Ovis aries: one gene and its partners. The protein of the gene in region 2 purifies or fractionates together with the protein of the main gene of each other region. This does not show direct contact. Links are inferred from orthologs where the notes say so. Each region holds a gene or a part of one and is shown on either strand. Other genes may lie near its edges.

Evidence for each region.
Region 1: the proteins of PRKCD (region 2) and IL32 purify together in Homo sapiens (affinity purification with western blotting; 4 studies listed by BioGRID and IntAct, with this or other methods). This does not show direct contact. The link is inferred for Ovis aries from reciprocal best matches to the Homo sapiens genes PRKCD and IL32.
Region 3: the proteins of PRKCD (region 2) and SP1 purify together in Homo sapiens (affinity purification with western blotting; 3 studies listed by BioGRID, with this or other methods). This does not show direct contact. The link is inferred for Ovis aries from reciprocal best matches to the Homo sapiens genes PRKCD and SP1.

The regions. Positions count from the first base shown.
Region 1 is NC_056077.1:3,028,884-3,033,199, reverse strand, and holds the start of IL32 (interleukin-32), read right to left. Parts: upstream 2,919-4,316; 5' UTR 2,734-2,918; coding exon 2,719-2,733; intron 1,245-2,718; exon of another isoform or gene 1,206-1,244; intron 1,111-1,205; exon of another isoform or gene 1,008-1,110; intron 653-1,007; exon of another isoform or gene 394-652; intron 1-393.
Region 2 is NC_056072.1:47,848,433-47,852,077, forward strand, and holds part of PRKCD (protein kinase C delta type), read right to left. Parts: coding exon 3,472-3,645; intron 3,172-3,471; coding exon 3,080-3,171; intron 2,508-3,079; coding exon 2,445-2,507; intron 1,689-2,444; coding exon 1,550-1,688; intron 1,400-1,549; coding exon 1,211-1,399; intron 614-1,210; coding exon 485-613; intron 1-484.
Region 3 is NC_056056.1:133,097,718-133,101,362, reverse strand, and holds part of SP1 (transcription factor Sp1), read left to right. Parts: intron 1-2,202; coding exon 2,203-2,371; intron 2,372-3,645. UniProt on the Homo sapiens protein: Transcription factor that can activate or repress transcription in response to physiological and pathological stimuli.

The DNA of each region.
Region 1 (4,316 bases), on a different chromosome or scaffold from region 2:
AGGGAGTCAGAAGCCCAGCCCAGCCCAACCCGAACTGCCGGCCTTCAGCCCAACAGCTCCGCAGACGGGAGGACTTGTCCCAGAGACTGGGCCTGGCCCCTCGGTTCCCCTCGAAGAACGAACCCTGGTGCTTGGTTGTACCTGCCTGCAGGTGGTTGGCCTCTGAACCCAGCAGCAGGCCCACGGGGCTCATAGCAGGAAGCTGAGTCCAGGGCTCTGGCCACCATGCCCTGAGTGGGGAGGCTGATGCCCACAAGGCTGCACCGCCTGAGATTTTAGGGACTGCCCTTTTCATCCCCCACTCCAGGGAGCTCTAGCACACGTAGCAGCCCCAGGACAAGAGAAACCAGTGGGGAGGGGAAGGAAGGTGCTGAGACAGTGGCTCCAACTCACGGGAAGGTTCTCTTGAATTTTATCTTCCAGGAATTCATAGAAGTCCTCGTTGAGTTTCTCCTGGGAGAGGAAGTGTGCAGTCCGCACTCCTGCCTCGCTTCTGAGGTCTGGTCCAAACTGTGGCCTCCCGTCCATCCCGGTGAGTCTGAAGGGAGCCAGGGCCCCAGACCCCATACCCTGGCTGATCCAACTCTGAGGACTACCCTTAGCAGGGGGCAAGGTCCAAACTCACCTCCGACTCTGCTAGGACTGCCTCCATCTGGTGGGAAAAAAACACTCTGTTTAAAACACCCCCACCCTCTCTCACTTTCACCCTGAATTCCGAGCCCCAGCTAGTTCTCATCTCTGCCCAGTCACCCCAATAACTAACCCTCAACCTGAAGACCATGCTGTGGCATCCCTGCCCTGCCCTCGTTGCCCTGTGGTCTGGACGCCGCCCTCAGCATCCCTGGGCTTCCATATCTCCTCCCTGTACACTCACCTGCCACACAGGTGTGCGTTTGTCCAGTGTAAGGACTGGGCCCTGAGCTGTGACCCTCATCATCACCGTGACTGTGAACCCACCCCTCCTCCCTCACACTGGGGAGGGTCGGGGGTGGGGCACACTGACCCACCTGTGCTTCTTCTGGTTCATTTCCCATCTTATCACAGAAGTGATCCCCGCAGCTGTGCTGTGAACAGAGGTGGACTTGAGTAAAAGAAGCTCGGTTCTTCTCCCTGCGGAGCCCCAAGTGGGCCAGATCATTCTCCGCATCACCCAGCAGAACCCAGGCCTCCCGAGCCCCAGATATTCGTCGGGATTAGCGTCTTACCAGTATGCTCCTCAGAGAAGTCTAGTCACATGGGACTCCCTGTGGAGGTAACAGTGAAACTCAGTTTCTGGTCTTGTAACCACTGAGACCTGTTTTACAGAACCACCCCCCCCACCAAGGAGGACTCTTGCCCTGGAATAGGCGGTCCACCTGGTTCCCAGATGCCAAGCCCTCCATAGTCCCGCTGAAAGCTGACCAGGGAGGAACTGGCGCTGTCCTCTCCTGTCTGAGGCGCTGACGGTGACAGCGGCCAGTCTTCCCGACCTCTGACCCTGCAGAGCCCCGGCCCCCCAGCCCCTTTCCCTCCAGGCACTTGACTCCATCTCGGAGGTGGGAGGCACCCCACCGACCCCTCGGGAGACTCCACCTAAGGGCGGGAATCTGGCGCTGTCCCCGCGGCCCTCCTGGCCCTGCGAGGTCAGTGGGGCTCACAGTACATGCAGGGCTCCCGTCTGCACACCCTGTGTCCGGGGGGCCCATCATGTCAGCCCAGCATCACACACGACTGGGCAAGGAAACACCTCGCGGGGCCGTGGGGACACTCTGCTGCCCACATCCTCCTCTCACTGGGCCTGGCTGCTCAGCCTGGCTCACCCCGTGATAACCACACCCAGACACCGGTGTGCCATGGCCCAGAGCCCCTGAGCAGCTGGTCACCCTCAGAACTAGGTAGCTGAGTGGGACAGAGGGCGGAGGGCTCCCCAAAAAATAAGAATAAATTCTGAGCTCAGCATGGCTTCAGCTGTTGATCCAGGCCCTGAGAGAAATGCTTTCAGCTTTTCTCTGAAAATCCTGGCCAGCCAACTAGACCCCACACGCTGCAACCAAGATCCCTCGGAGACAGAAGAAATTCAATAAATAGGAATAAGCATGAGAAGAGCCCGAGGGTGGCTGATTCCTCGGACACTGCAGACGCTCCTCGTCGGCTCCCCCACGAGCATGACGACTCTCATTCCTACACTCAGTCCAAGGGCCATTGCTCCTTCCTTGGTCCCAACACAGGCCCCCACACTGAGCTGCCCCTCAAACTGACCTCCCAGCAGGAGCCCCAGCCCCACAGCCAGGACCTGCTACCTAAGGAAAGGGCTCAGAGCACCAGGAAAGTGAAGTGTGTTAGTCAACAATTATGCAGAATTTCAGGCTGATGACAGCGGAGCATTCGATCTGGGTCATTGTGAGCCTGGGCGCTTTGATGTCACGGGTCCCATGTTTTGGCCCTCTGCTTCCCCACTGGGAAGGAAATGGCACCCACTCCAGTGTCTCTGCCTGGAGAAGCCCATGGACAGGGGAGCCTGGTGGGCTGCAGTTCCCGGGTTCACAAAGAGTCACCACTGAGCGACTCACACTTCACTTTCCCCTGTGGCCACCCCAGCACCCAGGGAGGGTGGGACAGAGGCTGCTGTGCCCAGAGCAGTCAGCAGGGCTGGGGCTGAGCCGGTGGGAACCAGGACAGGCAGCAACTAAGAACTGAGATCACAGGCCCACTCTCCCCTGGGCTCTGGTCGTCACTCACCTTAGCGAAGCCCATGGTGGATTAGGGTCCTCCCGCTGGGATCTGGTGCAAGAAGAGTGGGAGGAAAAGTGCTTCAGTGACGCAGGTTTGCCCACCACCCTGGAGGGTCCTCTGCCTGCAGGTCTCCCCACCCCCACACCAGGCTCCCCAGAGCCCCTCAACTGAGATCCTGCAGCCGGAGCTCCAGCTGAGCACTGCCTGGCTGCCGGCTGAGCCCCAGCCACTTAAGAGCCGGCCAGGGAGGGGTGGAGAGGGTGGAGTCCTGCTGGGGGAGGGGGCAGGGTCGGGTTGGTTATATTTGAGACAGAAACTGAGACAGAAATAGTCGCAGACACAGAGCCAGGAGAGGGGGGTCAGAAGGAGGGGAAGACATGCAGCCAGAGGTCTGAGGGGCCGGGGCGGGGAGGGCGTGTCCCTTACACTCAGGGTCTAGGGTTCAGGGCCCCTCCTCCCTAAGCTGCCTTGGGATCTCTGAGCCCAGCTTGGGCAGTACCCCGCCACTATCGGTGGAGAACGGGGAGGGACTGGGGAAAGTCCAGACTTGGGACGATAGTTTGAGGAAGCTTCGGGGGCAGCCGACCAGGGCCCTGGAACAGACTGCACCCCATTCCACATCTAGAGAAGCTTCTGCAGCCGCCCTGCCCTCAGGAAGTCACAGGACCTGCAGGGGCCCTGAGCTGGAGATTCTCCCGCAGGGAGAATTCATCCACAGCAGGGGCCGGGCCTGTGTGCCTACCCACAGGATGTGTCCCTCAGAAGGGGCTGAAGGGAGCCTACTGACCGTCTGGGCCCCTCTGACCAGGGTCTCCTGAGCCCTGCTCGGGCCCCCAGTGCTCAGTCACCGCGCCAGGGGTCTCAATGGCACTGGCCAGCCCCACAGCGCTTGACTCTCACAGCCTAGCCCAGCTCCCCTGAGACCACAGCCCCTCACAGCCCAACACAGCCATGGCCTGGCATCTGTCTTAGAGACCCAGGGCCGCCATAACAAAGAGCCACAGACCCGGTCTCAGCAACACACATTTACTCTCACAGTGGAGCCTCGAAATTGAAATCCAGGCTCAGCAGGCAGTGAATGCTCTGAGAGCCCTGAGGGAAACTTGTGTTCCTGGCTTCTCTCCTAGGCGTGTAGACGGCTGTCTCCAGGTCTACATCGCACCCTCCCTAGACAAGTATCTGTCTCCTTATTCCCCATTTTCAGAGGTCACCAGCCATAATGGATTAGAGCCCACCCTAAGGACCTCATGCTAACTTGATTCCCTGGAAAGACCCACCTCCAGGTGCCGGTGGTTAGGACTTCACTGGGTGCATTTAGGGGAACAGGATTCAGTGTCTAATATCCTTGAAGAGGAACCTGCCTCCTGACTGACCACCCGTGTGCACCCCATGGAGATGAACCTAGGAATCCCGCTCCTCAGGGAAAGTCTCTCTTGGGTCCACCAGACCCCAGCTGCCCCTTAGGAGCCCTTCAGTTGTCTGAAACTCCCTTCCCACACCCAGGAGGTCCAGATCCTTCCCTGAGCCAGCTCAGAACTCCAGGGCGGGAGGGAGACAACAGAGGCGCTCTTGCTTCAGCTGCGGGCTTCCCTGGTGGCTCAGAG
Region 2 (3,645 bases):
TAGTCTGGAAAGATTCCACAATGCCTCAGAGCAACCAAGCCCGTGCACCACAGCTACTGAAGTCTGTGTGCCTGGAGCCTGTGCTTCGCAGCGAGAAGCCACCACTACGAAAAGCCCACACACCACAACAAAGAGCAGCCCCGGGTTGCTGCAACTAGAGAAAGCCTGCATGACGCAATGAAGACTCAGTGTAGCCATAAATAAATAAATAAATAAAAGAGAATGCATGGTAAAGGGTGCTGGATCCACTGTTACCAAATGTTTGTTGAATGACTGACTGACTGAGAAGAGACCATGAGAACACAAAAGGTAGAGACTGTGACTCAGCCTGCCAGAAGGGCTGGGAAAGCGGATTTGTCAGAAGGGAGAGGAGGAGAGCATGGAAATGAGGCAGGAGGGAGGAAGGGCAAAGCAGGAGGAGCGCACCCGGGAAGGCAGTAGGGGCAATGTGGAGTGGCAGCCCCACCGGAGTAGGATTACATACCACTCTGGGCTTGAAGGGTGGCTCCACTGCACGTTTCTCCAGCAGAACCCAGTTGATGGTCTTGAAGAAGGGGTGGATTTTGATGTTCCCTGTCACTCCCAGCCTCTTGCTTACATCCCGTTCAAGCAGCTGCAACCCAGCAAAGGAACCTGGTTAGCACCCAAGGGCTACAGGAAATGGGTTCCTCAGAAAACCCCCAAGCAGGCCCAGGGGTACCTGGGCCAGTCTGGCTCAGCCCGGCATCACACCCCAGAGCCTCTGGGGTGGAGGAATCCTCTCTTGTCTCTTCTCCCGAGTCTGCATGGATGGGGGCTGCTGGGACTCTCAGAGGGTGGGATTTGTGAGTAAAAGCAGTGGTCATTTACTGAGTGTTTACTGTCTGCCTGGCACAGGCCTGAGCATCACAAATTTATGTTTCCCCCTACCCAGAAGTCTGTGAGAAAGGTTCTCTCCTAGCTTCATTTTGTAGATAAGGAGACAGACTCAGAGTTTAGCCTAGGGTCCGTCTATCTCCTGACCCCAATCTTGTCACTGCCATGCCAGACTGACTCAGTGCAGGGAACCCAGACGGGAGGTCCTGGGATCGCAGCAGGAGGGTGACTCCCCCGGGTGGGTGAGGACCAGAGCATCAGCGAGGCCACCATCCCTGAGACAGGGGGCTTCTGGCACTCCTGAGACCTGGTATCTGCCAGCCCCCCCAGGCCAGCTCCGCCCAGGGCCTCCCACCTTCTCCAGGATGTCCTTGGACTCCCTGGTGATCCAGCGAGGATAGTACGGTGAGTCCAAACGGATGGACTCGAAGAGCTCGTCCTCATCATCACCATGGAAGGGGGACTGACCAATGAGCATCTCGTAGAGAAGGACTCCGAAGGACCACCAGTCCACAGAGAACGAGTATTTTAGGCCCTGCAGGATCTGGAGCAGACAAAGTGTGGGAGCTGAAGGGGCTCCGGAACACAAGTCCGGCGGGATCTCCTCATCCCCCGAGTGGCAGCCCAGACATCACAAGTCACGCCCACCCTGTGGAGGCAAGGTGTTGGCCGGGGCGGGGAGGGTGCCACTCACCTCGGGGGCGATGTAGTCAGGGGTGCCGCAGAAGGTGCTGGCCTGTTTGTCCCCGGACATGTTCTCCTTGCACATGCCGAAGTCGGCAATCTTGATGTGGCCGCTGTGGTCCAGCAACACATTGTCCAGCTTGAGGTCCCTGAGGGGAAAGGACAGGAGAAGGAGTTATTAGGGCCCACTCCCCTCCTCCAGGCAGCTCCCTCCCATGTCCCCACTGTCAGTCTAGCACTCCCCCGCAGGGAGGGGGGAATGAGGAAGAGGAGGGCAAAGAAGTGCTAAATATAAGTGCTTCCTGCAAGCTGGCTACTGCGTTTGACACACACCATCCTACTTGCCTAGACTGAGTCTAGGCATGGACAGCATGTACACCACCTTTTAAAGTCTGGACCCTAGTACTCAGTACACACTGTCCCATGGACTGGTTTCCCAATTGATGACATCCCCTGGCATCATCCACAACAGCACAGAGCCCGGCCTCTTCCTTTGGCATGGATACATATTAACAGCAGGACAGGACTGTTGTTTGTTGGGTGAGAATTTATGAAACCAGTCCCTATGGGTGGAAGTTCAGAGTGCTTGGATAGGGCTTTAGAGGGGCTTTACAGGGAGACACCATAGGGAGAGAGACACCATACCAGTCAGTGCTGTGCTCCCTGACTGGCATCGAGTATGCCTGGGGATTTCCCAGTCCCTGGAGCTGTGCTAGCCTCAGCTAAGGGGCCACAAGGAATTCTAGCAATGGAGTAGGTGGTTTAGGCAAATACCCAACTAAAAGACCAATTCCATGCAGAGAGGGGACCAAAGCTGGACTGGGCCCCATTCAGAGCACTTCAGAGGATATGATGTGGTTGGGGCCTCCCCTCCTAAACACCCCCCCATCTCCCAAACCCCGCACCTGTAAATGATCCCTTTCTGGTGCAGAAACTGTAGTCCACAGACTATCTCAGCTGCATAAAACCTGGATGAGACAACACACATACACATATACGGTGTCCTGAGATTTCTGTGAGCAGCCCCTGCTTCTCCCTAGGTCTTCTTCTGTCCCCCCAGGGACAGGAAATGCTGTGCATAACTTCACAGACAACCTGGGCCTCATCAAGTGCATCTAGTGTCAGGCAAGTAGCGGCTGGTAGCCAAGACAGGAAAGAAAATTAAGAAGGAAAAAGCTCCAAAGGAGACTATCCTCTGTCTTAAGAGTCTATGTGTTTATACAGATAGGCCTATGTGCACACACACAGTTTAGCGATGCATGCAGGTTTAAGGAGCCACCCATCTGGGTCCTGCATTGAATAAGATCACCCACCTGGCTGAGGCCCAAGGAGGGGACAGGATCTGGCATATGACCAGGTTGGGTTCCCAGCCACAGCTCACCCACCACCCCTGGCTTCCCACACTGGGCAGGGGATGGCCCAGGCCACCCCAAGTCTCTCCAACCCCATCTCCAGCCCAGGCTAGCTTCTCCAGGGGGCGAAGAGAAGGAATGGAAGGCAGGCAGGCAGAGGGCTCTTCCCCTCATGGGGCCTCGCATACGTGGCACGGGAGAGCTCGAAGCGGCCTTTGTCCTGGATGTGGTACATCAGGTCGCCCCCATTGAGGAACTCCATCACAAAGAACAGGTGGTCCTGCAGGGGCGAGAGGATGGTGACCAGGGGGACAGAAAGCGAAGGGGGGCACCCTGACAGGATCACCAGGGGCAGGCCCTAACAGGAAGCAGGGAACAACTCTGCCCTGAGGGACCTGCAGGGGGAAGAATGGCCCTGCCCTGAGACATCTGAGGATGGGCGATCTCAGCCCTGCCTTCAGGGATCTGAGGAAGAAGAAGGGATCCTGTTCTGGCGAGTCTCAACGGGAGATACGACCCTGACCTGAGCAACTGAGGAGGGCTGTGGGCCAGGGGCACTGACAGTGGGTGGGCCAGGCACCTTGGTCTGGAAGGTGCAGAAGAGGTGGGTGAGAAACGGATGATCCCCGGCGAGCGCCAGCACCCGCTTCTCCACCATGGTGCACTCCACGTCGTCATCGATCAAGACCACGTCTTTCTTGAGAGCCTTGATGGCGAAGAATTCCTTTTTGCCCTTCAGCTCTGCGAGCAGCAC
Region 3 (3,645 bases), on a different chromosome or scaffold from region 2:
TGTGTGCTGTGTGGCAGCGCAGTGTTTTCTGGGTTATGCTCAGCAATGTCCATATTTGTTTTTCACAGTAACTTTATGAGATTGATAATATTTCATCCGAACTTTACTGATGGGGAAATTGATAACCAGAGAACTTATTTGATCATTACCAGAAAAGCTAATCGTACGTAGTGCAGGGACTCATATCTAGGGTCTGTCTTACTTCTAAACTGGTTTTTAACTTGTACTCCAGTACTTCCCAGTTTTCGTTCTGCCAGTATCATGGAAATCTCAGAATATTGAAATCGAGTCTATCTCACTGTGGTGAGCTGGCGCTGGGGAGTGGCAGAGTGAGAAGCGCAGGGAGAGCTGCCCACTAGCTGCTAGAGTCCTGGTGATCAGCTGAGAAGAGTGCAGTGAGGCACACAAGTCAGGAGCCTAGGATTCTAGATGTTTATTTAGTTTCCTTCTTTATAAAATAGATAAAGCAGGCCAGTTCAACACTCCCCATTTATTAGAATCTTAAGTATGGATATAGAGTTTTTAACTTATTTGCAAAATGCTTTCATAGGTGAATGCTTATTGATAGTAGATTTGAAAGCTGGAGAAGAATGTTAGCTATTCCTTTAAACCATTGTTTCTGTCTGTTGGCCTAGAGCACTGTTTGAAAATATCAAATGCGACCCATTAGTAACTCATAAAATCAATATACTGGGTCATGACCGGCATTAAGGAAAAAAAAAATAGAGTCTAGAAAATTTTAGAATACACTGCTTAACATAAGGATAGACGTTTTCATGAAACTACTGTTTCAATTATATATATATGTACTAGATTACATTGTCAAATATATATATTTTTATTGTATGTTGCAAGTTTGAAAAGTTTGAAAAACACTGTCCTGGAACTTCATAGAATTTATCTATTTTAATTTTACCAGGAGAGAAATTATAGTGATTTTAAGACAAATTTATCTTTAAAAGGAAATGACATCAACTAACAGAATGTATGTATGGTGTTTTCTTCTTTTTTGTAGCATTCTGAAAAGCATCTAATCCCAAACCAAAACCTTCCTGGCATGTATATAGCTAGCTACGCAGAATTAACTTTGAGGACTTTCCTGGTGGTCAAGACTCTGTATTTCCGCTGCAGGGGGCTTGGGTTTGATTCCTGGCTAGGGAACTAAGATCCCACATGCTGCTCCACATGGCCAAAAAAAAGGAATTAACTTTGACCTCAGCTCATTCATTTTCTCTGTATGTCAAAATTTGTAATATGTATGTACTGTTTCCCGCTGAATATTCAGAACAATTTTTTGCTCATTTCAGGAAGTTTCCCCTTTCTGGTTTTGAACAGTTTCTAGTTTAGAGTCCCGTGAAGTCTTATTTTTAGTCACTTCCATTTTGTTGGTTCCATAATACATTAGCTCTGGGAATGAGTAAGAGATTTGTTGTAACCTCTTTCTATAGCAGTGTGTAACTTTATCTCATTCTTTTTAATGCATATATAGTAGTCCACATAAGTTTATTGTAATTTACTTAAGAAGTTCAGCAGTTGTGTACATTTTGATTTTTTTCCAGTTTTTCGTTATAAGGCTACAGAAAACTTTACTGTCTCGTATGTTTGTGTTCTCATGAACACATCCTTAGGACATTGTGATTGAAAGTGAAATTTCTTTGAAGATGTGCACTTAAATTTTTAATGATATTGCCACATTGGCCTTCAAAAGATCATACAGGGAGTTCCCTGGCAGTCCAGTGCTTAGGACTCTGCACTTTCACTGCCAAGGGCGCAGGTTCAGTCCCTGGTTGGGAAACTTAAGATCCCACAAGCTACACAGCTCAGGTGCACCCTCCCCCCCCAAAAAAAAGGTTGTGCTAATTTATCACCACCTGCCACTGAGCCATCTGGGAAGCCCTGTATCTTTGCCAGTGCTGTACATTGTTAGAGTTTTACCTTTTTAACCTGGTAGGCTAGAGCAATCATAAAAGTCAAATAGAATTGTGTTTTAAAATTTGAGACTGAGCATGTTTTCATAGACTTATTGTTTCTTTGTCTCTGCAGTGCTGATTTTTGAGATTTCAAGTATAGGCAATATCAGTGAAGGTGACTTCAAAGTTTTGAAGAAATGGTGCTGTAAAAGTCAAGGGTCACTGTGGCTGTGATGATACCTGTGGCTATGATGACCTTCCCACTTTGACCCTTGTACTCTCTTAATTTCAGGTGATCATGGAGCTCAGCTTGGCCTCCATGGGGCTGGTGGTGATGGAATACATGATGACCCAACAGGTGGAGAGGAAGGAGAGAACAGTCCAGATCCCCAACCCCAAGCTGGTCGGAGGACCCGGCGGGAAGCATGCACTTGCCCCTACTGTAAAGATAGTGAAGGAAGGTAAGTTGATTCAGCCGGTCTCTTTAAGAGTGTAGGATGAAAAATTAGTAGATTAGGAGGGAAAAATAAGTGGTTTTTTTTGTTTTGTTTTGTTTTGTTTTAACTTTAAGACTTGGCAGGGTTACACAGGGATCAGAGATAGTATAGTGCATTTGGTTAGGCCGAATGTGGTCTTGATTCCAGCTCTGGTCCTTTCATCAACTCTTAGACCCTGGACCTTCAGAGATGCCTGCTTTCTGTTAGAGACAAGGAAGTCACATGGAGCCAAATGGTCAAATGAGTGTTACTTTATGTCTGTTTTGAGATGTTTGTTTTTACTCTTTAAAAAAATTCTGTTGGTGAGATGGTTTTAACAAGATAGCTTATAAAACAGCCTGGCAAAGAAACGGAAACATACCTACTGTAATGATTATTTTACAGTGACTGTGTGAAAATCATGAGTTTGTTTTTTTTTCTTCCTCAAAATAGATAAAACTACTTATTCTGGGTAGAAAATTCTTCAATCAAATAATCTAATATCACCTACAAAACAGACTTCTGATAGATTTTTGCATTAATGTGCTGGCTATACAATATTATCTCTGAAGAGTTCCAGGTTATTTCTCTTTTCTTCAAGTCACTGACTTTGAAAGAGAATAGAAAGTCATATAGGTTTCTAATTGCCTTTGAAAAAAGTCTGTTAAAGTTTTGCCCCATTAAAAATAAGCACAGGGGACTTCCCTGGTGATCCAGTGGTTAAGAATCTGCCTTGCAGTGCAGGGGACTCAGCTTGATTCCTGGTCAGGTAACTAAGGTCCCACGTGCTGCCAAGCAACTGTGCTTACACGCTACAACTAGAGAGTCCATGTGTCGCAGTGAAAGATCCTACATGCCGCAGCTAAAGACCTGACACAGCTGAGTAAATAAATAAATACTAAAATAATAATAATAATAATATGACAGAGTTTCCCTGGTGGCTCAGTGGTAAAGGATCTGCCTGCCAAGGCAGGAGACACAAGTTCAGTCCTTGATCTGGGTGGACCCCACATGCTGCAGAGCAGCTAAGCTTGGGTGCCACAGCTGTTGAGCCCCGTGCCCTGCAGTAAGAAAAGCCTCTGCACCTGGGGAGAAGCCCCTGCGCATTGCAGCTGGAGAACCTCCACACAGCATCGAAGGGCCAGCACAGCCAAAGTAAAGAAATTACGTTTTTTTTTTAAAAAAGAACTTAAGAAAAAAATAAGCACAAAAATAAGAAATGTACAAAAACAAAAAACAGTTTGAATTCTTTGTAGGTT